Arabidopsis thaliana: one gene and its partners. The protein of the gene in region 2 interacts with the protein of the main gene of each other region in a pairwise test. Each region holds a gene or a part of one and is shown on either strand. Other genes may lie near its edges.

What was found.
Region 1: the proteins of PRR9 (region 2) and EIL2 interact in a two-hybrid assay, tested with the Arabidopsis thaliana proteins (one large-scale study listed by BioGRID).
Region 3: the proteins of PRR9 (region 2) and AT4G25160 interact in a two-hybrid assay, tested with the Arabidopsis thaliana proteins (one large-scale study listed by BioGRID).
Region 4: the proteins of PRR9 (region 2) and CRF11 interact in a two-hybrid assay, tested with the Arabidopsis thaliana proteins (one large-scale study listed by BioGRID).

The regions. Positions count from the first base shown.
Region 1 is NC_003076.8:7,179,654-7,186,525, reverse strand, and holds EIL2 (ETHYLENE-INSENSITIVE3-like 2), read right to left. Parts: upstream 3,938-6,872; 5' UTR 3,919-3,937; coding exon 2,341-3,918; 3' UTR 2,184-2,340; downstream 1-2,183. Other genes in the region: AT5G21130 (Late embryogenesis abundant (LEA) hydroxyproline-rich glycoprotein family), read right to left, coding at 1-558; AT5G21125 (uncharacterized protein), read left to right, coding at 1,098-1,478. UniProt on the Arabidopsis thaliana protein: Probable transcription factor acting as a positive regulator in the ethylene response pathway. Could bind the primary ethylene response element present in the ETHYLENE-RESPONSE-FACTOR1 promoter.
Region 2 is NC_003071.7:19,229,732-19,237,712, reverse strand, and holds PRR9 (pseudo-response regulator 9), read right to left. Parts: upstream 5,107-7,981; 5' UTR 4,840-5,106; coding exon 4,653-4,839; intron 4,553-4,652; coding exon 4,391-4,552; exon of another isoform or gene 4,383-4,390; intron 4,294-4,382; coding exon 4,163-4,293; exon of another isoform or gene 4,085-4,162; coding exon of another isoform or gene 4,076-4,084; coding exon 3,956-4,075; intron 3,796-3,955; coding exon 3,524-3,795; intron 3,440-3,523; coding exon 3,004-3,439; coding exon of another isoform or gene 2,977-3,003; exon of another isoform or gene 2,911-2,976; coding exon 2,812-2,910; 3' UTR 2,534-2,811; downstream 1-2,533. Other genes in the region: AT2G46780 (RNA-binding (RRM/RBD/RNP motifs) family protein), read right to left, coding at 6,670-6,791, 6,879-7,245, 7,336-7,372, 7,476-7,623, 7,771-7,906. UniProt on the Arabidopsis thaliana protein: Transcriptional repressor of CCA1 and LHY, and positive regulator of LWD1 and LWD2 expression. Controls photoperiodic flowering response and temperature compensation. Involved in the positive and negative feedback loops of the circadian clock.
Region 3 is NC_003075.7:12,901,534-12,911,069, forward strand, and holds AT4G25160 (U-box domain-containing protein kinase family protein), read right to left. Parts: upstream 6,064-9,536; 5' UTR 5,684-6,063; intron 5,170-5,683; 5' UTR 5,137-5,169; coding exon 4,938-5,136; intron 4,775-4,937; coding exon 4,653-4,774; intron 4,563-4,652; coding exon 4,441-4,562; intron 4,360-4,440; coding exon 4,181-4,359; intron 4,095-4,180; coding exon 3,679-4,094; intron 3,612-3,678; coding exon 3,510-3,611; intron 3,427-3,509; coding exon 2,998-3,426; intron 2,857-2,997; coding exon 2,098-2,856; intron 2,007-2,097; coding exon 1,827-2,006; 3' UTR 1,647-1,826; downstream 1-1,646. Other genes in the region: AT4G25150 (HAD superfamily, subfamily IIIB acid phosphatase), read right to left, coding at 203-380, 550-759, 955-1,349; AT4G25170 (Uncharacterized conserved protein (UCP012943)), read left to right, coding at 8,207-8,616, 8,880-8,924, 9,064-9,307, 9,397-9,502. UniProt on the Arabidopsis thaliana protein: Functions as an E3 ubiquitin ligase.
Region 4 is NC_003074.8:9,472,590-9,480,174, reverse strand, and holds CRF11 (Integrase-type DNA-binding superfamily protein), read right to left. Parts: upstream 4,764-7,585; 5' UTR 4,357-4,763; exon of another isoform or gene 4,257-4,356; 5' UTR 4,124-4,256; coding exon 3,125-4,123; 3' UTR 2,585-3,124; downstream 1-2,584.

The DNA of each region.
Region 1 (6,872 bases), on a different chromosome or scaffold from region 2:
CTCGCCGTTCCCAAGTTTGGTTCCGTTAAAAAACACGTCAGCCTCATTTCCTTTCTCGTATATCAAACCGAGTTTACCTTTAACGTTCTGAGATCGCAACTTGATTCTGATCACCGGAGAAAACGGAGAAGATGACGTCAGGTTGATTCCGGTGACGGAGACTCCACTCACGGAGAACTGTGGCTTATGCGGCTGGTAAACGAGGTAGAAGAATCCGAAGGCAATCGCTGCGAGGACGATAATGATGAGTAAAGCAGAGAGGGAATAGCATAAACATCGCCGGCAACACGATTTGTTTGTTTTCCGGCGAGAGAGATACTCGTAACGGTGAGCATTTTCCGGTGGAGGAACACGGTAGATCTGATCCTTAGGGAGTTTGATGACGTAAGTCCCAGGCGGTGGTCCTATTCTTGATTTCTGAGAATCGACGGAGTATCGGCTGGAGGAACTATCGTTGGTATCTAGCGATGGATGCTTTATTCTGTGAACGTCTTTGTTAGTTAGGAATCCGTCGGAGTTTGTATCGCCGGTCATTTCTTGTGGTTTCTCGACCGTCATTTTTCTTGAATCAGAGAAATAATGCGAAGCAGATGAAATGAAGGTTTTGATTTGGTGACAGTAAGGATTTGGAGTAAATCATTTTATTATAAGATAAAGAAAGTGCATATTTGGAGATTAGGACGTGATTGCATGAATATCGTCCAAATATCATTTTGGAGATTCTTTTAATAACAATTATTTAATGAGTATATATTATTTTGTTGATTATCTATTAAATTTTCCATTAGTACAGATGGAGAAAGAAATTGGAGGAACCTTGAATGGAAAGTTTTAATAGAATATACGGAATGTAAAAATTGGTCAATGTAAAACATTTTTGCCAAGAAAAAAAATTGAAGAAGAAAAAAAAAAAAAAAAAAAAAAATATTGAAGAAGAAAATGAATGAAATAAAGTAATAGACAAAAGAGCTTAACTTGACTGAAATGAGAGGATGCAGCCAATCCTAGCATGGAATGGAATAGTGGTAAGAAAAAACCGGTAAGGATTTGATCATTTGAATAAATACAAATTTGTAGATGAGTGATGTGATCATTATATGGGAGACGATATGGGAGGCAATAACAAAGGGCATCTTCAAAATCAGTACAGAACCGACTGGGCTCAAGTCTTGGATTATGTATCGAACCAAAGCAAAGTAGAGCGGAGAGCTATCTGTCTCGCTATGCTCTACAAACCACTGTCTATACAATTTGAAAGGAGAGGAATGGAAGAAGGCACAAAAAGGAACCACATCCGGGGGCTCTTATCACAAAATGGATTTATAAACAAATTTGTATTCATATTTCCACCATTCGAACAAGAGGAGATAGACGGTACGACAAAGCGTATCAAGCATGGATCCTTGCTAGAGTTTAAGCTCCTGAGGTCACCAAACCAAGCTGCTCTTTTACAAGCGTTTTTTTTTTTACTCTTTTAGATCTTTTTAAAATTTATTTTCAAACTCACGAACCACTAAATTGTACAACGAACATTTTTTTTTTGAATATAATTTAACATTAGATTCAAAAAAGTAAATATGATCATTATAGTGAATTATAGCAATACATTGAATTTTTTTCTTTTATAATCAATTGTTTCGATTTTCTTTATTTGTATCAACGGTTGTATTGGAAATATTTATATTTCTTGTAAACTCTTTATAATATAAGTATTTGATTTGCCGAAAAAGGTATAGTTTTATATAGTAAGGTCTTCACATAGTTTTATTTTATGAATTTAATATGCGAAATATCATTTAAATATTTCTGAAATTATTCATATTAACTTTAAAATAGCATATCGTCAAACTTAGTTTATTTGATTTTTCAATTTGAGATTTATATAGAAATACATCTTTTAACCATTAATCTCTTTTAAAGGCACAAAATTAATTTAACACATAAAAAATCTGTTATTTATAGAAAACAATTCCCTATAAAAAGACATAATAAAAAGACATAAATAAAAATATTATCATACCAACAAAGTTTAAATTATTTAATATTAAAAATGTCTACAAACGCCTTCTTCCTTGAAGCCCAAGGCGAACACAAATACACACCTCTAAAGTCTAAACAAATAAAGCATTTTCTACTGTTCTTTTGTCAAAAAGAGAGGCTCTTCAAATCACATAATGAATTACTTTGAATTTGGTTATTAACTTATTATGAAACCTAATCTTCTCCATTGCTACATGGGCTATGAAATGGAGAGATCAAAAACTGTGTTTAATGAGAGAATAAGCAAGAGACAAAGCTATAAAGACTAGAAAACATAAAAAGAAAACTCTGAAGCTTTCTTTACTGAATCCAAGATGTGGGCAACTCTTGCCCTTGATTATGCAGATTGTTCTCTGTTCCTACTGTTTCCTCACCTCCATTGAAGTCAGTAGGTAAGACTAAACCAAGATTCTGATTCAGCGTCGAAGGAGAAGGATTCAAATCCTCAACCAAGTCATCGTTGCCTCTTTGTGGAGCTTTTGGTCTGTAGAGATCGTTGGGATGATTAAACTGGTCTTGAAAGCTCTGAACCTGCTGCTGCATCCCGTTATAATCCGGACAAGGAACCATTAAACCCGTCATACCATAGGGTTTAGTTGGTTGGTAGAAGGAAGTGACTTTATAAGGACAAGTCATTTGGTGATTCTCTCTTAAGTTCCTGTCAAGAAATCCCATATGTGGTTGGCTATAAGGACAGAGACTGTTCTCACATGTTAGGAGTGTTGGATGCATTGGCATCCCAAAATCTTCTTCAAACTTTCTCTTGTAAACACAGTTGTAGTTGTTTTCAAATTCAGGATACTGCTGATTGGTCCGATGAGTGCCACCAATCAGTTCAACATCATAGTCTGTAGATTCAGGAAACAAAACATCTGGGTCTCCACCGGTTGCAGGAACAAGAAAGTTAGAAGTGTTGTTGTTTTCTCTAGACATGGCTATTTGATCAACAATAGCCTTTTCTCGGTAAAGAGCAGCGAGCCATAAAGCGCCTTCTCTTGACGTCATTTTCTCCTGCAAACTTCTAGACCGTCTCACGAGATTGGGTATGTTGCTAATGTCAGAAGCCATATGTCTGATTACACCAATCAAAACACCAATTTTCCACAGCTTCTTGAGATCATGAGGCTTCTTGTAAGGTGGCGGAACACCTCGAAAATCAACGGGTAAAGACAGTTGATCCCACCAATCTTCTTTCCCCGTTGGCCACCATGGCGGTGTCACGCCTTTCTCCAACGGAAACCGCCTCTGAGGAGGGTTGCAGTGAGGAAACAGAGCCGATAACAGAGCTCCAAGAGTAGTATCTTGAAGCTCAAGCAACTTCTGTGCGGTAGAATCCCCAACCTCAGACCCTGAATCACTTCCATCAGAAAGATTGATATCCCTTTGGTGCTTGATTATAGCAGCTGGGCCGTTCCTATCAAACCTCACTTTGTCTTTCCACCATTCACGGAGATTATCAGAAGATCCCGCTACCGTTTTCCCATTCTCTAACACAATCCCATAAACAAAACCTTGAGCTTTATATCGCTCCATTGTCTTCGACATGTACTTCAAGATCCCATCTTGTGCCTTGTACATGGTTCTCTTACTAGAGTGCTCTGGAAAATCATCATGTTGCTGCTTCAACAACAATCTTGTTCCTAGACCGTTCTTCGCCATTTCCTTGAGCCGCTTTAAACGCTGCTTGTCTCTCCAGATCTTCTTCTCAAGCTCCTCTATTTCCATTTCCTCATCACTACTCAGATCATCGCACAAAGCCGTATGCGAATCAGAACACATATGTCCCTCTGTAAATGGAGGCGCCGAGCTACAAACTAAACTCCGGAACATCCCTATATTGTTGTTATACATATCCATAGAATCTGCAAATAATGTCATCAACTATGATTCACTTTAAGAATAAAATTGCATAATCATCGTCATTTAGTAATGCCGTATTTATCAAAATCTAAATTAAAACTCTCTAGCAATAACATAACACAAAAGAAAAAAACAGAGACTTTTAGTGAAAGATCGAGAGATCTAACTTGTGAAATAAGATTCATCATATGAATAACACAAAGATTTAGAGATCCAAATTCCATTAGTTATTACTCCCAAGGGATTGAATAAATACTATAGGAAAACTACTACCAAAGAGATTAAGTACATAATATAGGAGAAATATTTAGAGAAGGTAAAAGAAAATCACAAACAAGATTAATGGTTTATCATCAAATGATTATACAGTAAAAGCATCGATCTTTTTCTTTCTTTTGATTCTTATCAAAGCATATAACGACAAAACAATCCAGTCCGTATTACTACTGAAATACTTGATCTTGCAAAAGTGAAAATGGAACCCATCGGACAAAATATCAGATAGACCAAACCCAACAAGTCAAAAAACAATATTTGCAAGCAGACAATATACGTAAAAGCAAAACAAAACAAAAACAAAAATAAAGAGAAATCGAAGGAAGAAGAGAATATACCCAGAAAACTCTTGAGACCTTTGTGTTGCTTCGGCCACCAAATTCAAACCAAAGAAGCTATTGGGACCTTCAGAGAGAGAGAAGAGATAGAGACATGTATGTATGTATGTTTGTGTATCTATATATATTATGAGCATTAAATAAGAAGAGACTGCGAAAGGGTGGTGATAATAGGCCTGTAAAAACCATGCTAAACGACACATTTCTTTGTGTAAGGATATGGTAAAAATTTCTTATTTATCTCCTTTGAGTTTCATTCCATTTCTAGTTCAGATTCTTTATTTAAATATATAGTCACTTCTTTTAAAAAAAAGAAAAATTAACATGCCCATAAAATGGTTATTTCTGCCTAAATTATTTTTTGTTTGATAGCCTAAAATTATTAATATCAATATAAAAAATATAATCATGTCTACTATAAGAAAAATATCAAATGTAGATGTATGCTTAAGCGGGAAAAATATAACCCCTAAACATAAAGCGAGTATTTTTGAAAACAAATAGGAATCAAGTACCAAATATAGACATTTTCTAAGGCACGTAAATTTACTATTTTAATGGTATAAAATCGTAGCATGTAATTTTTTTTTTATAAAATATTTAAATAATAGCTTTAAATTAATTGGTGCGTATGTTTGAATTTTAAAATTTGTTAATGCATTTAATTTCATGGGGAGCTGTATCTAAATATATCGGTCTAGATAAACAAATAGTAAAACAGTAAGTAGTTCCGTACGATCTATTTATACTTTAAAAAAAACAAAATACAACCTATTTATACTAATTTACTTGTATTAGTTTTATCAATTAGTTTTTACAATGGAATTTAAATGAGATTCTTGTAGTTCTACCAAGTCCTGAATACTAAAAACTTATCATGCCCAAAGACTTACAAAATAATTACTCTCTTTGTATCAAAATAAAAACGTTTAAATTTTTCCATATTAAGAAATTAATGATTTTCTTTATTTTACTAAATCAAAAGATATTTTATGATTTATCTAATCACAGTCCAACCAATAAAAATAAAGTAAAAAATGCACATTGTCATAAAATATATAGAAATTATTACATTTTGCTTTGAAAATGTAAACAAATCACATAATATGATATAGAAAAAAATATCATAGTTTTAAATACAAAAGCTGGCAGAGTATGAAAGAAAAGGGAAAAAATGTTGCCAGTACTCACTAATTAATTCTGATACATATATGATAATGCTAAAAAAACAAAATTATTGAAGAATTCCTTAAAATAGCTCAGAATTGTGGCGCTTTCAATTTCTTACAAAATACCAAATTTCCATGATTTTTGTTTAAACATTTAAAAGCATACAATTTGACATTCTTTAGAATAGAATAAAAATACTTAGTTTACCATTTTTGTTTTTGCATTATATTAGTATATGCTAGATATAAGAGCCTTTTAAATTGCACAAGCTCATAGCATTAAAATTGAAAAGTTTCATATAGGTAAGTATTTTGTATTAAGAATTGTGAATTTTGTATTCTCTATGAATTTATGATATCTTATATATACTAATATACATTCAATCCCTTTGGATACTGGCTCTAAATATTTGACCAACAGATTGGTTTCTAGTATTACTGTCTATATATATTTCCCCATTTTCCTTTAAGCATTCCATAAATGTATTTTTAATATAAAATTAGTAGTTAACAATGTTTTTTATTTTAATAATTTTCTATTTATCCAGACCATCTCAAGAAGCCAAAATTTAAAGATGATAATATGGTGTTTTAAAATCTATTTAAAACAATCCTTTGTAGCTTATTGTATTGTTTTCTATGCTGAATTGTAAACTGTGTCATATAATTGAAGATATTATTTTTTCTTTAGACAAACAAATATATAACCTTCTAAATCACATTGTCTATATATCCAATGGACGATTATGATTCTTATGTAAATCGATCAACATTTTTCACAGTGATATTTGTAATGCACGACTCAAAAAATAAAATAAAACTCTCATCAAATATTCGTTTTTCGATTTTAAAACTCTCCCATTAAAAGATAGGTATTTGAGATTTCGTAATCTTGGCGCCATACTATAAATTGTCGGGTTTCTCATTGCAAAATGTTATATAAACTACTTAATAAATCATGAAATGTTGACCTTTAATTATGATGATATATTATCTATAACTGTTTGTATAACGGTCAACGTGTGGGTAATGAAACAGGTAATACTTTCGTTTTATTTTATTTTGGTTATCCTTTAGAAATGTCAACTAGTTATCTAAATATCATATTTGATTTTAAGTTCAAATGAGATACGGTATATAGTACAACTATATATTATAGGGTATAAAACCTATTTCAAATCAAAGAAAA
Region 2 (7,981 bases):
ATGGCAGAGTCAGAAAGTGAAAAAACAACAAACCCTAACACGAATAATAAAAACAGAGGCAAGCAAAAAGGTCAGATTTTAAAGAAAACCCGAACCCTAAAAAAGTGGCGAGAGGAAGAGAAGGGCTCACCAGGAAGAGATACAAAAGTTGCAGAAATTGAAGATTCTCAGTAGTATATAAGAATCTATCTCTGGGTAAGGGGCCAAAAGAAGAAAGCTATTTAAAAAAGATATGGGGGAGCTCCACCGATTTCATGAGAGATCCACCTAACCCTTTTTTTGGGTCCCCTTTCTCTCTTATCTCCTTCGACATCTCTCTTAATCGGAATCTCTTTCGTTGACGGTGAACATGATGAACACGTGGCCGTTTTTTATGGTCCGTAATTTTTGCTGTCTTTTTTTTTTTTGCTTTTTTTTTACCTGTGTATAATGATTGGGTATCTTGTCAAACCGGTGAAATTTTTAATTTAAACCAATCAATCTAGTGGCTTTTTTAATCGGTTTCATATATTGGTTCGCAGAAGCGGTTTAGCAAAATGATTGGGTTTTCACTTTTGAGGGTTTATTGAATTGACTAAGAAGAAAAATTCCAAAACATAATTTAAAATTTAGTTATGTGAAAACTTCGAATACCAAACTTTATAGATTAACTAAGGATATGATGTTTATGTACGGTTAGTTTTGACATATTTAAACTTTATCACTTAAACTAGTTCTTAAAAAGTTTTAGTGAATTAATTTCTTAAATTTAGTAAAAACAATCAACATTTTTCAAAAACTAATTATAAGTATTACAAACACCAAAGCTTACGGATCAACTAAATATGAGATATCTATGTGCGGTTAGTTTCAACGTGATTAAAATTTACCATTTAAACTAATTTTCAAAAAGTTTTAAATGAACTGATTTTTTAAAGTTTAAGTGTTAAATTACGTGAAAACTTTCCAAACTTCGAACACCAAAACTTACGGACCAACTAAGTACGAGATGCTTAGGCGCAATTAGTTTTCAACGTGTTTAAAATTTACCACTTAAACTAAGATTTAATTTTATTTTTTTAAACAAGTGTTCAATACCTAAATAATTTGTAAACCATATTAAACCTAAAACACCACCTACATGTTTGAATCTTGTATTCAATTAGATTACACAAAATTAAAAAAAAAAAATTATCCCAAAAAAACATTAAAGGTTTAATAGTAATGTAAAAATATAAGTCTAAAAACATTTTTTAATAAATGAAAAACAAGTGTTAAAAACTTAAATAATATGTAAACCATATATTAAACCTATAAATGAAACCTTAAAACCTTAAAGATCTAATAGTAGTATAAAAATATAAGTTTAAAAGCATTTTTAATAAAAGCAAAACAAGTGTTAAAAAGTTAAATAATGTGTAAACCATATATTGAATCTAGAACAGTTTTTAGGGGTTTGGATGATGTATCCAATTAGTTTACACAAAAATTAAAAATTTAACACTTATCCAAATAAAAAAAAACCTAAAGATTTAATAGTAATATGAAAATATATAAGTTTAAAAATATTTTTAACGAAAGCAAAACAAGTGTTAAAAAGTTGAATAATGTGTAAACTATATATTAAACCTAGAACACCTCTTAGGGGTTTGGATGATGTATCCAATTAGATTACACAAAATTTAAAAATTTAACACTTATCCAAATAAAAATACCTTAAAGATTTAATAGTAATATGAAAATATGTAAGTTTAAAAACATTTTTAATAAAAGCAAAACAAGTGTTAAAAAGTTAAATAATGTGTAAACCATATATTGAACCTGGCACACCTCCTAGGGGTTTGGATGATGTATCCAATTAGTTTACACAAAATTTAAAAATTTAACACTTATCTATATAAAAAAAATCTAAAGTTATAATAAAATATAGGTGTAAAAACATTTTACACTTAAACTAATGAAAATATATAAACATTTTAGTTATATAAATGTTATGGTGAAACTAATTAGTTTTACTTAAAAATAATTTTGAAGGTAAATAAAACAAAAAAAAAAAGAATGAAAAAAGTAATACCTTGTTGGATTTAGTAGCAAAAAGGGCCCATAGAGCAAAGCCCATTCCAAAGTCAGATTTGAGCCCGTCGGTCTTTGGTAGCCCTCTCGTGACATCATCCACCACCATAAAGCTCTCCCCTCTCTTGGCTATATCCTCCTCTTTGTAGTCTCCTCTTTGAAGACAAAATTGTCTTGAGAAGAGAACTAGGGTTGAAGAATAAGAAGAAGCGAGAGATAGAGAGTTTTGATTTGTCGAATGTTTTAGAAGAAGCGTTGAGACTCTCACTAATTATTTATTTATAAGCAAAGAAAAGGAAACTGATAATCACAATTAACGGTCACAAAATCTTAGTTTAACGGTCACAAAAAAAGATTTCTTTGTTGATTTTTCTTTCGATAGCTTTTGTTTCCTTTTTTTGTTTCTCTGACTGTGAGAGAATTAATGTGATGAGTTTTAATACATAGACTATAGCAATGGTATATAAATCAAGTTTTATAGAATCTGTTTCTTGTTGGTATGTATCGAGAGAGAAGCGGCCTGGATATGATCACAACAAGAAATATTTCTCAACTTAACGAAATTGGAATTACTGTTTTAGCTTAGCCTGATCATTTGCAGACATATATACAAAAGTTGCCCCAGTATCTCATATTAGCTGAGAAGAAGAAGCCAATCAAATACATAAAAAAAAAAAGCACACTAAAGATTGCAAAAGCTAAATAAGTTTCTGTTATAAAATCAACAAAAGAAATCAGAGGAAAAACTGAAAGAGCTCTTCATGATTTTGTAGACGCGTCTGAATTCACGGTTCGCACGAACTGGCCTTTCACTCGAGGACGTTGTTCTGCTAGCTTCTTCCTGCTCTGGTACCGAACCTGTAATCCATTTTTATACATCTCCATTGAATCAGTTTGATCTTGTATTTGTTTCAGATGCTGTTTTTATGATGAAGCTTGTGTGTCTCTTACCTTTTTGTCAAAGCATCGATCTTTCCTCTTCAACCGGAACTTCATCAATGCAGCTTCTCTCTGGCTTCTACTCCAACGTTGTTTCGCACTTTCTTCTTCCTTTGGTTTCTCTGTGCTACTGCTTTGTCCAGCAATCCCCTCATTGGTGCTTTGAGAACCAGCTTCTACTTCCTTGCTAGCTGCTTTCTCGCGATTTGATTCTACCGGTATGGGTGAATCTTGCTTCTGATTCGTTACTGTGGACTGAAGAACTTGGTTACGGAAGCTTACGCTTGATGATCCGATATTCTCCTGGTTGCTGCTCGTTGTGGCGCTTCCTTGATCAGATGTTACTTTTCTTAACTTTTCATGTGATTCGGTTGGTGTCTTTGGCTCACCTGAAGTACTCTCCTCTAAAGCAACGACGGCTTTTTCTGCTGACTTGCTTTCCTCAAATCTGCAAGTTAAGTAGAGTTATTGATTAAAAACACTAATTACAAGATTTGAGGCATTCTTTATTCAAGCAAGGAAACATGCATACCTTGAGAAGGCCGACGCATCAGAGAGGCTAAGCTTTTGATGCTTGCTTTCATCTTGGTTCTCAAAACTTACAGAGCAAGATCTTTTCAGAGAAAGTCCAAGCTCAGGACCAACACACTCATCTCGACTCTTGTCTTTATAAATACTATCAGGACGCTTGTCAATTCCACCAATCAAATCCATTGTCACATCAAAAGTTTCCTTAAACTCGTCTCTTTCATCCACTGATTTGCCATTCTCCATCAGCTTATTGTGACCATTGTAATTGATAGCCTGCATAAGCATGTACACGATATTAGCTTCTACTAAAATGAGATAAACATGAGATATACAATGCAATCTCAAGATGAAAATCTCACAACTCATACAAAACACAATTCAGAAGGACCAGAACATATATTATGTAAAACTCAGATGGTAATATTTATTATACCTGAGCACCACTTCCTTGATCTGAATGATATCTGGAATCTTCACAAGTTTCATCAGTATCTTCAAGGTTGTGCTGTGAAGCTGGTAAGCTTTGAGCATGAGCAGTAGGATCATCACGCAACTGATCCATAACCAAAAAAGACAATAAGTCTTTCAAGTTTCAAACTTCAACACAAGGAAACCTCAAAAAAGGAAATAAAAAATTTACAGTCAGTCTTCTCCAAACATGTTGCCATAGATTTTTCAACTCGTTTTTCCTCATTGGTTTGATTAGATAATCAGCAGCACCTCTCAGCATACACTTCAACACCATTTTTATCGAATCTTGAGAAGACATCACTATTCATTTCAAACAAACAACAAAAGCATAAGAACCAAAAAACTAACAAAGAGGCGTTTTTAGAGGTATAAAGGACTTAGGGGATCACCATCGTACTTATGACAGGAATGTTCTTGCAAGCTTCATGCTCCATTACCAAAGCAAGCAGAGCAAAACCAGATATAGATGGCAAATCCAGCTCTGTTAGTATAAGATCAATGTTATGTGACTTCTCCTTTAGAACCTCCCACGCAGCTAAACCATCAGAAACAGCTACAACTGTATTCAATCAAAAAGCATGAACCGAGTTTAATTTCAAACATCAAAACATAAAAATGAAAACTTTAACATAAGCTAATGAAAGGAAAGACCAATCGACCTTTGTAACAGCATTTACGAAGAAGGGCAGTGATGATTTGACGAGTTGAGTAATCAGATTCAACTAACAAAACCCTAAGTACAGTTTTAGGCAAATACTTCTCCCACTGAACAACTTCCGATGACTTTACTCTGTTCTTTATAGTCTCCATACCATCATCACTACTTAAAACCACAATCTCCCCCATAGACTCAGACCTCAAAACAAACTGAATCACAACACTTGGTAAAACCAACAAAGCCTAAAACACACAAAAATAGAAACAAGAATCTAGATCAACGAGCTTTAGATCTTAATCTACCGAGAAATATTGTTTCAGACTGAATAAAAGAGAGAGAGAAAATATCAGATGTTGAAGTAAAGAAGAAGGAAGAAGAAAGTTAAACTCTTTAGTTTGGTATCTTTCGATCACAACCACGAAAATATCTTCTCAGAGAAAGAAGAAGACTTTGTTGTATAAGCTCAGAGCAAATAAACAATTTGAGAAATCTAATTAACGGTGTGTAACAAAGCGGGCCTTCACTGAGCTGACGTGGCTTAATATGAGCCATTGTTTTGATTTTCTCTGTATCGCGGCTGATTCGGTGGAGGTGGTCCTCTGCTTCGCAGGTCCACCTTAACACGTGTCATTAACCTAATCGCTCTACGGAAGTGGAGATATTCGTCTGAATATCTAGTGGTCATGTGGATGACACGTGGGTTTCTATTGTAATTGTGTGGCTAAGTTTGATTTTTGGTTGGATTTAATAAATTCTAAAAGGTAGATTTTTTTTTTTCAGCTGCTCTATGTATCATTCAAATTGGATGGCTTTTTTTGTTCCTTTTTTCAAAAAAGTTAATTATATTAAATGTTATTAAATTTTCAATTGGGATTTAACAAATAGTATTATTTTCAAATATTAAATGCCCACTAGTTTTAATTAAATCAAATTTCGTTAGTGGCCGCGTAAATTTCGACTCCAAATGAAAAATTGGATTTTCTTGAATATAAAAATTTTCTGTGGATAAGAAGGAATTCTAGAACCATCTTAATAAAACTTTGCTTTGCGTGGAAAGAATATCTATCGATCTATGATGTGGACAGTGCGTAATAAACAACTTACCATATTCTTGCGTGTTTACATATCTAAGGCTTTAAGCTTTCTATGGCCAACTTACTTACACATATAAAAATTAATGGGCTTTATAAGAATTTAAGCCTTAGATTTTCAAAAGCCCATAACTTATGTATTCTCTATGTTTTGTTTGTTTGGTTTTTATTATAAAATTGTTAAAAGAATAGTAGAAGTGAAATATTATCCATTGACGAAGAAAAAGATCCGTTTGATTCCAACGGTCTTTTGACCGGTACTTTTGTCTTCATAAGATCCCCTTTGGAATCCAAAGACAATAATCATTTTACTCTCAGAAAATGATCATACGAATTCAAAATAATTATCAAAAAGGTTCAATCTTTTTATGATTATAAAACACGAGAAAACTCCAGGTGAAAGTGATCGATGAACGGATTCTTGGTTGATCAAACATTTTATAATCATAATAAACGAACAAATATAGTAAGAAGAAGCAATGTGATTGAATTATAACAATTTCAAGAATTACAAATGTAAAAGAAATGATTTTAAGCTTATCCGAAGCTTAAAAATCCTGTTTAGGTTCAAAAGAAGACATAAAACATTTCTTTTGAACCTGAAAAATAAAATTCCCCAAATGAATGTAATAATCTGATGATGCTTTCTGCACCAATCCAAGTTTTCTTAAGAATCTAAAAGAAAGCCACCAATGCTTTCTCTTGATTCTTTTACCTAAAATGCAATTTGAAACAACAACAAAAAAAAAGAAAGAATGTGATGATGGTTTCTTCTTCTTCTTCCTCCTCCTAAGTACTAATTAAGATTCTAGAATCCTAAAAACGATGGATGAATGAATGTTTCTAGAACGTTGTTGGAGAGATTTGATGATGAGTTAGTGTACAATGAAGTTTGTCCCTTCTTCTGGCTATTGTAGTAGTTCTGAATCAACCCTCTATCTTGATGGTTGATGTTGTCATTGCTTCATTACCATCTTTGCTGCTAGCTTCAGTTTCTGCTTTCTTTGTTGCTGTAGTTATAACTACTGTTTTTGTTGCTGTTGTTGCAGCTAATACAAAACAAAACAAAGAATCAAGCATGATTCAAAACAATGTGACAAATGGTTTTCAATGTAGATTGTGTTGTGAAATCAAACCTGAGGTGGAAGTTGAAGAGGACGGTGATGATGATGAAGGTAAAGATAGAGCCAGAGAGGTTGGGAGGGAGAGGATTGGAGGAGGAGGTTGCTGAGAGCTAAATTGCTGCTGAGAACTGAAGTGTGGCTGGTGAGGCAAGTAAGGATATTGCAGCAGAGGAGGAGCAGGAGGAGCAGTGTATTGAAAGCTGAAACCTTGGTGATGTTGAGCTTGAACTTGAGCTTGAGCTTGATTGCTACTTTGTGCTGCATTGTATTGAGGATAGTAGGGATAAAAACCATGGAACATTCCTGTTGATCCTGCTGATGGATGTCCCATATATGGTGAAAACTGTTGTCCTCCATAGAGATGATGATTGTAGTAGTTCTGCAAACAAACAAAAAACACAAACATAAGAACTTCAAAGATTTATCAGTGAAATGGAAACGACTCTACAAATTTATAAAATGAACTTACCATTGGGTACATTCCCTCTTGAGAATAACCAGAAAACCTGCAGAAGAAGAAAACACAAGCATTTTAAGTTTTGCTTACACACACACACGCACACTAATCAGAATGGATTGTTATTTAATGTGATGATTATGTATTCTTACCCGTAAGTAGAGTAAGGAAATGGGAATTGAGCAGTGTGTTGTTGTTGTTGTTGATGAACAAAAGCAGAGGAAGAAGAAGAGCCTCGAAACTGAGGAGAAGGAGCAACTAATCCAACTCCTGATCCTGGTGATCTGAATCTACCTGTTCCTGGAAATCAAGTTTCCACCAAGAATCGTAAAACAACACTCTTGACTTCTTCACGTGTTGATCAAGTAAAAAGATCAGATTTTTCCAATCACCCTAAAGCTAGTTCCCATTGGAATTAAGAGAGGAGAGAGAGAGAGAGATTCAAACCATGTCGAGGAGAAGTAGGAGGACGAGGTTTTTGAGCACCAAGACAAGCAAGATTGCAATTAGCTCTTCTTCCATCAATCACAGGATTCATGTTCTGACAAGCTCTCATCGCTGCTTCAGCTTCCTTAAACGTGACCTAATCAAATAAAAAAACTGATTTTTTCAGAGAAAAAGAGAAACTTTATCATCAAAGAAACGAAAAAGAGAGAGA
Region 3 (9,536 bases), on a different chromosome or scaffold from region 2:
TTTTGTTAAACTTATGTTAGTTAACTGGATTCGTCTTTAACCACAAAAAGTTTTCAATAAGCTACAAATTTAGACACGCAAGCCGATGCAGTCATTAGTACATATATTTATTGCAAGTGATTACATGGCAACCCAAACTTCAAAAACAGTAGGTTGCTCCATTTAGTAACCTGAATTGCCTCCTGATTCTAGTTGATCCCCTTCAGGGGATATAATACATTGGATTTGGAAGTTTGAAGGATCTTTCTGACATTGCAGAACCCAACAAATCACTCCATTGGTCACCTGAATTGCCTCTGATCCTATACCCTTCTTTCACCATCTCCTCTCTCTTCTCTGACTTGTACATGGTCGCTGTTTTGTTCCGATCATCCAACGATCTATTAACATTAAGCAGCAAACCAAAGCGTCAATCATCCATTCAAACCCAAGATTACAATCCAAGATCAAACAACGTCATGTTACCACAACCATGGATCCAGATCAATAGTTGGTTAAAAACTGTATGAGCTACATTGTAATGGAGGTCCAAAAGTAGAGTATGCATACCTCAGAATAAGCTTGTCCCAGTTATGGAAACCGGCATTGCGCAGGTTTTCGACAGTGATAACCCGGTGGTTCTCTCTACGCCCTGTAAGCAAGATAACTTTGTACCCCAAATGTATAACCTTTTGGTAAAGCTTCAAGCTTGGTGCTATAGCAGGTGCTATCCCTTTCTCTACCCACATATCAAACTTTGAATGATCAAAAACTTCCAACCTGCAAATTCCCAAACAGAACAAACATTCACATTTATCATACATAGACAAACAAGCAAAGAAAAAGACAGACAACAACACATACCTCAAATCTTAACTAATTCGACATAGTAAAAAGACAAATCCATCTATACAATTATCAAGGAACCAACTTTTTATAGCAATGTTGTAAAATGAAAGATTTAAGATAAATTACCCACAACCGTGTTCCATGTAATAAGGAAGATTCGACAATAACGTCTCATCAATATCGAAAATCCAAATGTCTTTCCCGTCACCGTTAGATTCGAAGCTGCTCGCGTAAACCTTAGCTTCTTCGGAGACTCTCTCCACATCGACGACGTAACCTTCACCCATCAGGTAATCTTTCACGTAATCGGCGCATTCAGCTGGAATGGTTTTCCATGGAGCGAGATTGTTTGTCTCCGCCGCGAATCTCCAGCTCGTGCAATGTAGATTGACATTGTCGTTTATGTTCTTGAGCTGGGTTTCGAAGATCAATGGTCGCGCAATGAGATACGAGCTGGAGTTTTCATTGGAGAACGCCAGAGGAATCAAGGAGAAGAGAATGAGATTCACGAGAATCCGCATTGTATATCGCCGGAAACGCCGGGAGAAAAAAAGTTGAGATTTTTTCAATTGGGTCTTCAAGAGATTCAGGACATAAGCGAAATCCGAAGAAATATCAAAGAGAAGAGGAGATTTTCCATTCTCTAATGATGAGGAAGTGGATTATAAGAACCCTAGAAACAGTGAAACATTTCCTCTCAAGGTCCTTTTTTCAACGGAGAAATGAGGATTCTCGGAGAAAAGTTTCTGTTTCTTTTTGGGCAATGGAAAGGAAGAGAGACAAAAAAGACCAAAATACCAAAATGAAAAATAAAGGGCAATGGTTTTGTGTTCTTATTTGGAGGCAAATTAACGGATGGATCCGAATATTCGTTTACAAGATGATTAAGGTTTCGTTTCGGTTTATATTTTTGATTCAGCATGTGTGTAGTAGTAGTACAAAGCAAAACGTCTTGCCGTTTATATATCCACAAAAACGCTACACAGTTTGGCTTACTACTATCGTGTAGACCTCCATTCCATGATGGCTGTGTAAAGAGTATAATTGGGTAAAAGGTTCTTGCTATGCAACGGTGAATCCGTCATCGGCGATGTGTTGTGCTCCTTAAGCCACTCCTCTATCGCATGACGGTCGTATGTGTATCCGTCTGCTGCAACGCACGGCTCGTTCATCACGTCCTGCATTATACCACACAAGCTCACACATTTTCACCACAACACACTGAGATGAGATGTTTCAACATTGAACAAGGTTTTATATAGAGTTTACCTTAAGTAATGGGCAGATGAAATGAGTGGGAGGCTGTGTCGATACGCCGGAAAATGAGTTCCTTGCCTTTTCAGCTACTTTCTTTAGGTTTTCGAGCGCTGGAAGAATCTGATCTTTCAAATCAGGTCTATCTTTCCCGCGTAGCTCTGTACAACACAAAGCTAATGCGGCCAATTCCCGGGTTTCTTCAATCGGCCAGTTACCGGCTTTCTGATCTAAGATCTTAAGGAACTCATCATTACTATCCATTGCGCTCTCAACGAAATGTGTCAATGCAATAGCAGGTTTTGCTGTGAGAAGCTGAAGAAGAATCATTCCAAAGGAGTAGATATCTGATTTCGATGATATCCTTCCAGTGCGCTGATATTCCGGATCAATATAGCATAACGTTCCCACGGGGCTTGTTTGTTTGTATATAGTGAATTTAGTTGATAGAGGATCGACTTGAACCATCGTTGAGAGTCCCACGTCTCCAACTTTGCTGACAAAGTTGTGATCAAGTAAGATGTTTGCAGGTTTAAGATCACGGTGAATGATTGGTTTAGGCTTTGATTTGTGGAGGAAGACAAGAGCCGCTGCAACTTCCCAAGCAATCCTAAACCGCTCAAACCACGGGAGTGGCGGACTGTTGTTGACCTGGAAAAGTCTGTCCTCCAAGCTACCGTTTTCCATGTACTCATAAACTAAAGCACCTTGCTCCGGGCACGCTCCTAGAAGGAGAACCAAATGTGGATGCCTAATCTTGCTCAAGATTTCGAGCTGCAAATTAGAGAGGCCAGTGAGATAAATGTAGACTCTTATCCACAAGAATTGAAATTAAAATCAGAAAACTTCCATATAGTGAAAGGCACAAAATCTCAAACAAAGTTCCTTAAACCAAATTTGAGCTCACTTCCATACCTCTTGTTGGAATTGTTTGGAAAGTTGATTTTCAGCTGACTGCAAAACTTTGACAACTGCAGTTGTATGATGCAGATTACACTTGTAAACAGCTCCGTAAGCTCCCATTCCGATCTTCAGTTCTTCTGAGAATGATGAAGTGGCAGCCATAATTTCTTCCCAAGCAAAGTGCTGATATTGCAGCTGAGGAGACCCGAGAGTGCCCTCGAGCTTCTCTTTCTCTTTAGTATCACGTGCGGATTTCCTTTCGGCTTCTCTTCTCTGCGCAATTTCTCTCTCTGCTCTTTCTCTCATGCTCTCTGCATCTCTCCTTGCCTTCTCAAAATTCTGCTTTTCCTTTTCTGCTAACTCTCGAGCTTCATACTCCTTCAGCTTTAGCTCTTCAAGCTTTATGGCTTCTTCTAACCGACGTTGGTTAAGTTCACCAAGCTGAAACATTTTCAGAAAAGCATTGAGCACAATTTAATAAGTTTCATCAAATGCAAAGATATATGATATTATGAGGCCTTCACCTTTCGAGAAGCATCAAAGGTTTCGGTTTGAGCCACAGCATACATTTCTTGAACGTGTCTAAGCTCAGCTCTCAACTTCTCAACCTCAAAGTTTAGGTTTACCTGAACAAATAATCTTATATTATTCCGATTCACAAGACAATGTCGAAATTAAAACTCCATTTTATACCTGGTTGTCTGTATAGGATTGTTCACTTAGAGCATCAGACATGTTGGAAGCTTGTTGAGAAGCCCGAGAGTGTGTAGTATCGACACCCATGCCACTCCAACTAAACCTAGTACCAAAATTCCCGTATTCACGGTTGCTCGAAGAAGAACTCATAGCTTCTTTTCTCTCCTCATAATCTCTACGCCGAGGAGTCCAACGTGATGTAGTATCTGTGCTGCTTCTATTGATACTTGAAACATCTCTAGCTTCCTCTGCATCCAAAGACATGCACCTGGTTTCATCCGAGCCAACAGAACTCGTTTCCATTGGAACTGATGCCTGTCCTGCAATTGCAGGGAAATGTTGCATTCTCCTGACCGGAAGGGATAGAGGACGAGATTGAGAGTCATGCGCACTTGACATTACATCTGATGAATCTAGAAGAGAAAATGGGGTAACAGAATTAGATATACACACCATTTCTAGTAGAGTATTCACACAAATACATTGATGAGTCATGGACCTGAGGTGGGACCAGAAGAACCGCTTGAAGAATTTGTTCTCTCACTACCATCTTCTCTTATAGTAGCATTTCCGTCTGAGTCTGATGGTCGGACGCATGACAATTTACCTTTTGAAACAACATAGACTGTACAAAAGTTTGGCATCAAAGCTGATATCACCGAGCAAATATCAGCTTTCCTGGAATTTTCAAAACAGATTCATTGGTACACGGAATAGAAAGAACAAAGGTCGAAAGCTAGCAGCAGGGTGGTAGTGTACCTTGAGAAAAAACTACGGGATGAGCCTCCAATGACAATTCTGTCTATTGAATCCCGAGTCACTTCTTCAGCTATTGCGGCTGCCACATTATCTGATTCGATCACAAGAACTTCTACTGCAACCTTTCATTAAGGTAATTCAATGAGTTCATGTAACCTTGAAATTTTCATTAAAGAAGAGCGTAAGATATCTCATTATACCAAAGAAAATACCTTTCTCCGCACGAACAGTTTTGTGTAAGGTTTAAGCATTTCTTCAGACTGCCACAGTATTTCCTGTCTATATGCAGTTACTACATCATCTCGTACCTCGGAAATCGGGATTGCATTTCCCACTTGAGAAGGAGCAAGAAATGTACATCAGGCTTTTTATCAGTTACAATAAGTCTTGATTTTGTTTTACACAACAATACCAAATAGAAAAAAGGGAAACACAGGAAGAAGTCCTGAGTACAAGAAAGAAAGAAACAGAAATACAAGGCATAGTTGGAACTTTACTTGGTGTAGGTACAGAAGTAATCATTGGATGGATGTGAAGCAGCTTGAAGCCAACATTTCCTTCAGTAGCAAATTTTTCGATCGCCCATGTAACTACATATTTGCTTTTACTGCTCCCACTTAGAGCCACAACGACGGTACGAGATGGGGGAGGAGGAGGAGGAGGAGGAAGAGCAAGCTTGTCTGGTGATCTACTCATTGTTAATCTTTTGTGTTCTTGTTTCTATTGACCCTGCACACTACAACCATTTCAGACACTGCAAAACAATGTTCTAAAAAGAGTGTTTTGTTCCTAAAGTAGAGATAACATGAAAGAAAGGGAAAGCTAAAACTCTCCAGTCAGTGGGAATCAACAGACAGTAATTATATTTGAACTCACATAGCTGAATGTTGAATATCAACTCATCAAACCGAAAAGGCAAATAATAATAAGTATTGACAGAATCTAACGGAGGTATACCGATCATGAGATACTCTTAATAGCGTTGAAAGTCAAATGTCTCAGAGTCTAATTTGGACGACCAAAAGGATCGTAAAGCAACAACACTCAACGACCATCGAAGCTAACAAATAGCTAGCTTCTTATAAAGATAAAAAAAAAAACTCAAACTTTCCAATAAAAATGTCAACTTTGAGCACAATGCAATTGCAGAGAATTCGAAAGGTTATGAAACATTGATCAAGTCAATCAAAGGGACCATCTTCAGGGCATAGAGTTAAACAAGAAAACCAGAAATTGAACCTACCTGGTAAATAAAGGATGCGACTTTAGTCAAACCCAATACAAAAATTGAGAGAAGAAATGGTGGAAGCTTCCATTTCACAGAGCAATCAATTTCAGAAAATAAAGAGAGCAGCAGAAGAAGAAGATGAAGACCCACGTTGGTGCTGCTAATCTCAGATACAAACAATGGGTTCTTATAACCAGAGAATCTAAAAAAGATTTGAAAAGAAGCATCAAAAATAATAAGAAAATGAGACAAGTTGGTCATGTTAATGGTCAAAGGAGGATCAGTCCTGGGTATATACTCTTTTGTTCTCTCGCCTGAATTTTCTTCATTATCAGAGTGACAGAAGGAGAGTGTGTTCTAAAAGAAAGAAGTTTTCTCCAACCTTAGGCCTTGACTATTAGTTTAATCATAGTTTATCTCTTAATTCCCTAATTATTTGGTATTTAACTACATTCCTCAACGCCATTATTATATCGAGTTTGGCCATAGTTGCACGCATGATCTATGTCTTCCTCACGTCTTTTTGTCTCCTCCCCTTTATGCATAGTGGAGTGGTACAAGACTTTGGTAGAGTTCACCTACAACATTGGTTCGCATTTGAACCGTGATTTGGCCGGTTCAATTTAAACGCCGGTTTACGAGTTTTAACCTCTGGCTGATTAAGTAACCAATTTTGGCAAAATCCAAAGACGAAGGCAAAACTCTCTGGCTGATCAAGAGGATTCGATTAGGCTCTTTGACCTTGTCAACAAAGACCTTTTAGAATAAAAGCATTCAAAGTATCTATAGAAGCTAAAAACATTAAAAGTTACTTATGGAAAACGAATTGGCATGTCATTGTTCCTTGATGATTGATGATAAAAGGTGGAAAAAACTCGAATTTTAAACTTGTCTTGTCTCGACGCTAAAATCTTCATCCCCTGTAGTCATTCATCATGAAATATTCGATCAGGACACATTATTTTCAAATTTCAATTATCTAATATCTCTATAAACTTAAAATCTATTATTATTTTCTTATGTTGATTCTCCTTTTTTCCGTACGAAATGTCTTCCCACTTTCAAATTGGTTTTGGAGTTTTCATGCTCTTGAGTCTAGTATTCGTATTACTATTGTGTATTCTGAATGTAAACGACTAGTGTTCAGGTCAATATATCAATGATTATTTTCTCCATTCTCGTTTTGTTTGATGCAAAAACTAAAGAACAAATTCTGTCAAAAATATAAGAATATATATCAATATTGTGTTGCACTACATAATATTCTTTTTACTATGAATGGCCATCTTTTTTTAAGAAAAAAATGGACGAAAAAGGCAGAGTTTGTCCAATGAAAACTGGATAAATGACATTAGTAAATAGCAAATGACATATAATTTATTTATAACTTATTAATAGGAAATTTGCAAATGGGTATTTTCTTACAATTTGTTTCTTTTGTTGTGTGTGTGGTCAAGATCTTCTTTTAATACATGATCGAGTGTAGAAACTCTAATTATATGGCGATGATGAAATTTGATAGTGGAAGAACTTTTAAATATGATAATTTACAATGTTGAATTAGATACAAATATCTTAATTTATTAATGGCTGAAATGACTTGATTTATTAATTACATAAAGGTTTAAATGCAAAAGTAACCTTTGTGTACACATTTGTTTTGAATAGTTTACAAAGTTACTCTAAAATAATCTGCTTTGTAATATGAAAATATCATTTTTTGGTAAAGAATGATATTGAAAACATGTTTGCAAAACAACAGACTTACCTGTCAGATACATACACACATCAACTTAAACATAGTTTGACCACACTAAAAATGCCTATGTTCGTTGACATTCACGAACAAAAGAAAAACTATTTACCCATAAATTCCGTGAAATTTTTGTCTAACTATGATAAAAATCCATTATTTTGGATTAAAATTCAAATAAAATCCAATTGAAAACGCTACCGAAACTCAAAATGAAAAAGACCTACAAATATGTTTTGGTTTATATAAACCCATACATATGTTACACGGAAAAAAAGAAAACTACTATTACGTACTGGTTTTAGACTTTTAGGTTTTTAACCACATCCAAATTATCCAAATTGAATATGAAATTTTATGATTTGATCTATGTACACCTTTAGTTATAATAAAGCATAGTCTCTTTTTTTTTTATTATGTTTTTATTTCGTTTTTGGAAACTCATATGCTGACGTACCAAATAAATTTGGGATATATAATCCAGTATTGAAACAATTATTATTATAACAACAGTGGAGTAGTATTTTAATGCATTTAATGGAAAAAAAGAAAACAGAGTAAACGGATAAGCGTGTCGTGGAGAAGAAGGACCAAAGCAAAGTAAAGAAAGTCATATATTCCTGAAAATCTATAAAAGACATTTCGCATTTATCCACTTCCTCGATTCAATCAAAACTGCTTCAAGTAAAAAGCCTACGAAATAGCATCGGACCAAAAGACAAACTCACCGAGTAAACATACGCAACCTGTCGTGTAAGTAAAAACAATTTGATAGTGATCTCTCTATGTTTGGTGGAGGAAGAGGGCCTATGGGTGGCGGCGGAGGTATGTTACGCGCCGCCGGTCGTGCGATGACGAGGACCGGTGTAGCCAACGGTGGTATTCAAGATCCCTTTGCTTCTTCATCATCATCGTCCACGTCGTCTCCGGCTGGAAACGCCTCTGTTTCGCATGTCCAGAAACAGAGATCTTCTTCTTCTGGGTCGAATAATCTGACGTATTCCGCGGCTTCTGGGTTGTTGTTGAATCTTCCGGTGGCTGCAACCTCCGGATGGAGCGGCGGCGGTCCTTTTTCCTTTGTTAATTCTGGAGGTTATGATGATTTTGAGTGGGTTTCTGAGGAAGAAGATGATTCTCTGTTTGGCTCTGTTCCTTCTGTTGATGAAGTCCAAGATGCTGTTTCTGCTCTCCAGCAGTAATCTAATTTCTTCTCTTTTCTCATTTCACTTGAAAATGTGTGATTCTTTGGATGTGACTATTTGAGTTTGAGTCTTGTGGAAATTATTGTCATAAAATCTCATAAATTGATCACTTTTGAGTGGTAGGTATTAGTTCCCACGAGTTGTCTAAGTAATAGAGAGAGACACGAGAATTGTTATGGACTGCTATAGTGTCTCAAAGTTTAATTGTTTTCTTTCCTGATATGGATGGAATTGTCTTGATTTGATGATCTTGAAGAAGTTTGAAACTCTTTCAGCTGTGTCTCCGTGACCCCACTCAGTTGTTTTGTACTTAAAATACTTTCAAAAGTTGTTTGCTGGTTTATTCATAATAGTAATTGGTCTTTGTTATCTTATGGATTTCGAAATATTTGTGTTCTGTTTACGTGTTGGAGTAACGGTTTTGTTTTATTTTCTTGAAGGGTTTTCGATGCTAGTTCATATTCCCAGCTGGTTAGAGACAAATACGAGTGCTATCCGGAAAATGGTGGTGGAAACCAGAGCCCTATAGCCACAGGGATGGTTCATCAAGTTCCTTCATTCGGGTCGGATTCGGACTGGATGGAGCCATCAATGCATTTATGCCATTCAAGAACGTTAAAGCCTCATGCTTATGATCAGGTTTACAATGCTTTTGACCTACTACGAACCGAACCATCTGTCCAGGTGATACTTTCTTTTGTTTTCTTGATTACACTAAGCTCATGTTTACTTTTTGGTACATGAAGAAAGGGCTTTTTCACATTTTAATGCAGAAAATGGTAGTATCATTGTCGTCTGACAAAGCAGTTTGGGAGGCGGTGATGAACAACGATGTGGTGCGAGAGATTAGGGACTTGTACAACAATGGCATAAGTCAAGGTATAAAGAGATAATGAATTGATCAATCTAAACA
Region 4 (7,585 bases), on a different chromosome or scaffold from region 2:
TGTTAGAGAAACATATCATTTTGTTTATAAAGTTTACAAAATACTAATCGAAATAGAGCTTTTCACATTCTCCTTCTTCTTTTTCTTACGTTTATAATATAGTTTTTATAAGAATTATGAGTCCTTTATTTGAGATATTTGTCTTTATTTATATATATATATATATATATATATTGGAAGCCTTAATTTGTCTATTCGATCTTTGAATGTTGAAAAGAACTACAACTCTCCGGCATAATATTGTTTGGTGGGTCAACGATGCACATTTCTTGTGTCTTGACTTTGAAGCAAAGCATATGTGGCAATGTGGCATGGCTTCGCCGCTATTGCAACATTTTAATATCAACCATATATTTTATCATTTACATTTGTTCGAATCCTGACTCATTTTTGAATTCTGCAGTAAAACAATTGACACATTGAATCCAAGTAGGTTATACAGTATTTGTTCAACCATTTTAAAAATATTTACAAGTTAACATCATCATTTCCTAAACGGGGAAAAAGGGACTTGGTCGTTCGTTGTAGTTGTTGAGCACTTTAGAACGATTAGCAACGAATCAGAATATTTTTTATACTACTTTCAAACTATATAAATTACCGTTTAGATAATTTAAAACATAAATAGTCCATTTTACTTATTGAAAAACATAAAACTATCCTATTTTACCAAATTCTCTTTATTTTTTTTGTTAAGAATTTTTTTTAGGTCTTTTTGACCATTAACAAAATTATATTAAAAATATCCTTTAGCTAATTTAAAAATATAGTTCTGACCTATTCCACAAAATTCTCTTTATTTTTCAGTTAAGCAAATCTTTAAATATTTTGACGTCGAAACGTATTCTAGTTTATCTTATCAGGAGTGAGGGAATCAAAAACAACCATGCATCTCGATGGAAATCTCTCCTATGTATCCCTCACGTCTTAAAAAATTACGGATTATTGTTAACACGAGTAAATTAAAGGATTCATCAACATATGTAATCCTTGAATAATATGTAATCAACTAATAAAAAAATATTAGCTTATAATGTTACTGAACCCACAAACTAAAAACTCATCTTTCTGCACATTTTTTAACCGGAAACTACAGAATGAATAATTATTTTTTTACAATCTAATATTTTCAAATAAATTTTGTTATTAAGTTTCATAAAAATAGATCACATACGGTCTATATTTTTTAAAAAGTTTCTAATTATAATAAAAATGAGTTTGGATATATTTTAAAAACTTATGTATAATATCATTTTGATAATTTCACTTTCATATATTGTCAACCAATCAATATTTTCTCACTAATCTATATCAACCATGTTTTAACTACTCAATAACAACCGTTGTATAATCGTTGATATTTGTGAATTATGTGACTCTAATTGATTAAAACTATATAGCCTTAAGTCTTTTGTTGTACAAGCTAGGCCATTGATTGTTGGTCTTGACTCTTGACTCTTGAGTCTTGACCATGACTTATCTATAAAAGAGTGTAAAATCTGATTATTATTGTAATTGTTAACTTGCTGTACAGATTTACAACGTATGATAGCGTTATGGTCTCACTAGCCCAACAAAAATTATTAATTTGTAATGTGGGCTCTCCGTTTACGTGCATTGGGCCTTTCAGTAACATAGAAAGCCAGAAAGCCTATTTGTTATTATTATTCGATTTTTTCTTTCAAGTTTCAACATCTTGGATCATTTTTTTGGTGCAACATATTTTTTTTCCATCAAATGGTGCAACATATTTAGTTGTATAATGGACGTGTTTAAGATTCTTCATAAGATGCTAAATATTACCAAATGACTAATCCAGAATAACTATGTAATTGATTGCTTGATCGTAAGTAAACCCCTTTGTCCAAAAAAAAACCATGGAAGTAAACCCAATTTTTATTTCAGATCATTAGAAATCACTAATTTCCACGTTTTTGATAAAAAAAAAGCTCCATCGAATGAGAATGACACTTGATAAAAAACCAAATTGTATACATCGACTTCGAGCATGTCAAATCTCCAATCTCCAAAGAAAAGTACAAGTCTTAAAATCTCAAATCAATTATTCTTAAGACTTCAATTTATTTTCTGTCAACATCTTAAGAATTCAATTAACAAAAAAACAAAAACATCTTAGAATTCATTTTAATTTGTTGAAAAAACAAAAACAAAATGAATATGCACGTTCAATTCAATGTATATCCATAATTCTGTTCACTAAAACGAAACTAATAAAATCCAAAAGCAGCTACAGTCTGAAGTTGAGAGATGGCTTGACACAAAAGAACACACCACTATATACTCTTTATATCAAAGATGGAACTAGTTGAAAATTTTGGCAAGACTTGTAATATACGCAAAGGTTGCTTTAAGAAAATTAGATCAAATATTAAATATTATAAAAGAAATGGTTTAAGAACCAACGCAATTAGAGCGGTGATAATTTGTCCTACTGTTATCATCAACCAAACCCATTAACCTCTCTATCTTGCATTATGTGTTTTTGTTCACATAACTTTTAAAGAAAACTTTACTGATATAATGCAAAAAGAGGATAAGCCTAAACCCTAACTCTATAGGTAGTGATTGCAGAGAACAAACGGTTTATCTAGTTATCTTCATGTCTGACTGAATCAACCCGAAAGAAACAGCAATCAAACATTGGTAACAATGACTTAACAAGAGCAGAGGACGAAACCATCAACAATGTATGTAGCACAAAACAAATAAAGTAGGTCTCACATATGTATCAATAACTCAACAGGCAAAACTTACAAAGATTGAGAGAGCTTACGAATTAGAAAACATCTAAAGGCTTTTCAAAGACAATCCTCATATAGAAAAAAACCCTAAATGAGAAACAATTGCCTTCAAAAAAAACCACCTGAGATTTACAATTTCGATCACACCTCTCTATCTTCTCCACAACATCAAAACCATTATGTCAACAAAACTTTCTTTAGTAACACCAACACACAAAACTGCATCTGCTTCTATCTTTAGGGTTTTTGCTTCCCTTGAGATTAACTGCCTCTGCTATACTTTAATAACTTAAGACAAAACCGAGTAACAACGAGCTTTTTACGTTGCTCCTATAGCTAATAATAACACCTAGCTGCAAAACTTATGGGCACGCGATATTAAGAGGAGTGGGAGTAGTTGTTGCGATATGATCAACGAAAGCATACTTGTCAATGGTGGTTCCAATGAGACCAAGATCGATCTCCACATCTGAGAAATCATAGTCTGGAAGTTCGCTTGGACCGTCACATTCAAGACCAATGATGTCCAGATCATCTATGCCACAGTAATCATCCAACATTTGGTTGTTGTTCTCTTCTGTTAAGAGAAAATCAAGCTCACAAGCATTTGGGATGAATGAGTCATCAATGAAGCAACCCATTTCAGGAATCTGTAGATCTGCAAAGTCGAAATCAAAACTCGCTTTCTTCGATTCACCAGCTTGTTGATCAAGAGTCGAATCAACTAGCTTCTTGTCAAGATCAATGCTTGACCCTGAGGCTGAGATCATAGAACCAGACTCATTTGACAAAACAGAGGAAGCAGCAGAAGTGGCTGCAGCCAGAGCATCAAACTCAAGCTTCTTGGTAGCATAAGCATCAGCTGCTTGTTCAAGCGTCTCGTAAGTACCCAACCAAGTTCTTACTTTGGTGATTGGATGTCTAATCTCAGCAGCCCATTTACCCCATTTCCTCTGCCTAACACCAACAGGCTTCGAGACAGTAGTAGAAGAACGTCCAACGACCGGAGATGCTTTGCTGCGTAAAACCTTTTTGCTACAAGCTGAGATTTTAGTCTTGCTTACACCATTATTGTTACTCTCCTGACAATATGAGCTTTCAGATTCTGCTTGAGTAGCAGCTTGAGCGAAAGGAAGATCGATCTCACAGACATAACGTTTCCTTCTCTGACTCCTTTCTTCTTCTTCGCTTGATGAGTAGTCAGTAGCGTAAGGATCATTCACAACGAAACGGAGTTTTCTCATAGTCTTCAAATCTTCAGATAAACCTGGGAGGTGATTTAGCTGAAAAGGTTTCTTCTTCATGGGTTTTTTGTTGGGTTTATTGGTTTGAATAGAAGAGCGTTTCTTTCGTTCAGCCATTTTATCGAACACTTGGTGTGCGAAATTCAAAACCAAACCCCCTTAAACCCTAAAAAACCTCTCAAAATTCCCAGAAAAGCCTCAAAATGAACTCTCTCAAGAACAAGAAAAGTCCTTTACCCCAGAACAAGTCCTGTTTCAATAACCAGCAAAAACACAACAACCCACTTCAGATTCGAACAGAGAAACTATAAAAACCATTCAAAGTAACAAACTTTAGCAAACCCAGTTACCTTTTAGGTCTTAAACGCATGGAAATCGATGAAACTGTGAGAAATCAATCACTGAGAGAGCTAGTAGATGTAGCTTGATGAACGAGAAAAACAGAGCAGAAAGCGATTAAGAAGACGAAGAAGGAAGAAGAAGAGAGAGAAGCGTAGAGTCAAAGACAGAGCTCCGGTTAAACAAATTATTCCGGCGACTTCAAAGATCCTTTTCTCTCTCACACTCCTCTCAGCTCTTCGAGCTTCCCAAAAGTGAAAAAGAAAAGTGAGAAGATAAAAGATTCAAAAAGAGGAAGAAGAAGAAGAAGAAGAAGATAAAGTAAAGAATCAAAACGAATCGAAAACAGATGACAAATCTATGGCCAAGATTTTTCTGCCTCTCTATTACCAAAGACAAAACTTTTAATTTATGTCGGAAAAATAAAAGAAAGTTATGTAACTGGTAAATTTAAGAGACCGAGGAATTTAAAAAGATGTTAAAAATCTTTTAAGAAACGATTGTTCAAACACAGATCTCAATAAAAATTTATTAAAGCATTAAAAGAAAGAAAAAAAACGAAGATGGGAAATTAAATTCGTTTTTTATTAGCATTTGGTTTTTTTTTTTTGGACAGTTTTATTTCATTTTTTCGGTTAAGATTGGTGAAAATAGTTTTACAATAGGGATAAGGAAAATGTTTTTTAAATTATCACTTTATCATTTTCGTTGGTTTAAAGTATGAATTTTGGATCTTGTGAATTAAATTCTTAATTTGATGTTGATTTTCAATTTAATTACAAATTCTCGTTGACTAAGCCAATTGAGACACAATTTTTTTTCCCGGTATCGTCAATCGACCTAAAGATGAAAGATTACTTTGAATTCGAATAAGAAGAGAAATTCCAAAGAAGATAAGAGATTCTGAAGAAAAATAGAGAAAAACTCAAAAATTTTAATTAGAAAATTTTTTAACGATGTGTCTTAATTGGCTTAGTTAACGAGAATTCGTGATTAAATTAAACGTCAACATAAAATTGAGGATTTAAATCACCAAATCGAGAGTTTATGTTTTAAACCAACGAAAATGGTAAAGTGATGATTTAAATGACATTTTTCCCTTTTACAATATGGTAATAAAACATACTATTTTTGGAATTATATTATGGATATATGGTAAATAAATTTAGTTTGTGAAAGGAATAATACTTTGTATCGAACAAGTTATTATTGTATTGTAATACATTATTCATGAAATTTACTTCTCACTGTTACTGCACTGTGGGTCTTTTAGCTAAGTGAAGTAATAGAATTTTATTTTATTAATAGTATTAAACTACAATAACATATATATTCGTTTTTTAATTAAAAATAAATAAAAGAGAGTGACTAGTAACTACTCCTTCATTGTTTAGTGAATTATTCATATTATTTGATGTGATGTATACTTGTATTCTATAGTAATTTAACTCATTCTCCCAAATTGACTCTTAAACAAAAACATCAATTATAGATTCTGATAATTTTTTCGGCATTCAACAAAAATATCTTACAAAAGATCGACGAGTATAATTCAATACCATTAATTAACATAACAATTTGTGAGGTTAATTAATTACATTAGAGGTAGTTTACTTTGCAGTATCTTGATTGTGCTAAAGAAGAACAATTTCGAACGTGGAGGATTGTTCCATCCCCACATTTGCTAGTTGCTACCAACCGAGGGACTTTTCATCATAATTTACAAGTCTTCTTCCCATCTTTAGTGGGTATAAATAAATACAATTTTTTTTTTTTTTTTTTTTGTGCACCAAATAAATACAATGTTAATGAGAATAATTCACAACTCAAAACGTTTTTGAATAACTCTGTTTTATTTTTTCCACACTCAAGCATTTCATGAAGTCAATGGTCTCTTTTTGGGTCAACTAAGTCAGTGCTTAAGTTAAGTTACTCTGTAATATTCCGTAACATAACATGATCATGATCACTCTAATAACTTGCAAAATCATTTAAGTTCGGTCCGATTTGAACCGATCAATTTAAACTTGTATTTTAGAGGTTAAGCTCATCCATTATTTGATATCTTACACCATGAACGAACATTTGGTTAACCTAAAGAACACAAAATAAAATAAAAATTTCTAACATTTTTTGCTCGATTCTATTTGGTTTCGGTCCTAATAGTTTTGAAACAACTTAAAACAGGTCGCTTCCAGATTAATCCAAAAAGTTAACATCTCTAGATTAAAATTTATATATCAACTTCAAATTTTATGATTTTTTTGTAAGGTTCATTACGATTCGATCGATTAAAAATTTAAAACATTTTTTACTAAAGAAATACCAAAAAAATATTGAAAGTGTCATTTTCTTTCAATTCCATAAAACGAAAGGAACTCCTAATTTCCAAAATTTTGTTTATTCCACAGCTTTTTTAACATATCGCTCGCATTGCCACATTGGTCCAGACCTACTCCCCTTTTTATTTACAAGATTGCCACTTTAAAGAGTTGGATAATTAATTTAGTTTAAACTAAACATTTTTCTGCAACAATATAGTAGGAAAACAAAAAGCTAGAAGAAAAAAGAAAACAGTGAACGCACGCCTGAATGCATGTGATTGCCTACCCTACGTGAAGAAAAGACGATGCAATTACAGAAGTAAGAAAAACATTTTCTCCACCAATATACAATGACCCTTACTAATTATTACTATTTCAACAAAACGTTTCCTACGTAAGGAAGGCAACAGATTCATTTGATGTCATTTTTCAACGACAATAGACAAAAAAAAAGTAAAGCAATAATAAAGTAAAGTTGTACACTACATATATACTTTTTAAAAATTGTTGAAACACAAAATGTGTGCAAATTTATAACAGTGTATACAAAATGGATGTTCAACTACGTCAAAGACTATTCATGAAGAAAAACGGTCGTGACAAAATTTAGACAAATTAACAATATATTAAATAAAAACTTTTAAAATAATTTTAGTATTACAGAAACATTATTAGATAAATTCGCAATATTTTTGTTCTATTGAAAGAAAAACAAAAAAGAAAGAGTAAGGGATCATTACATTGATTTCACACATACAAGTGTCGGATTATCAGTGTCACGTGGTGTTTAAAATGTAGACATTTCACCATGTGGACTAATACATTCATAAATAATGCAGCCATCGACGACGACCATCAAGCAATTTTTATATGTGGAAAGTTTTTTCAAAAATTATTAGTAAGTGGACACGTCAGA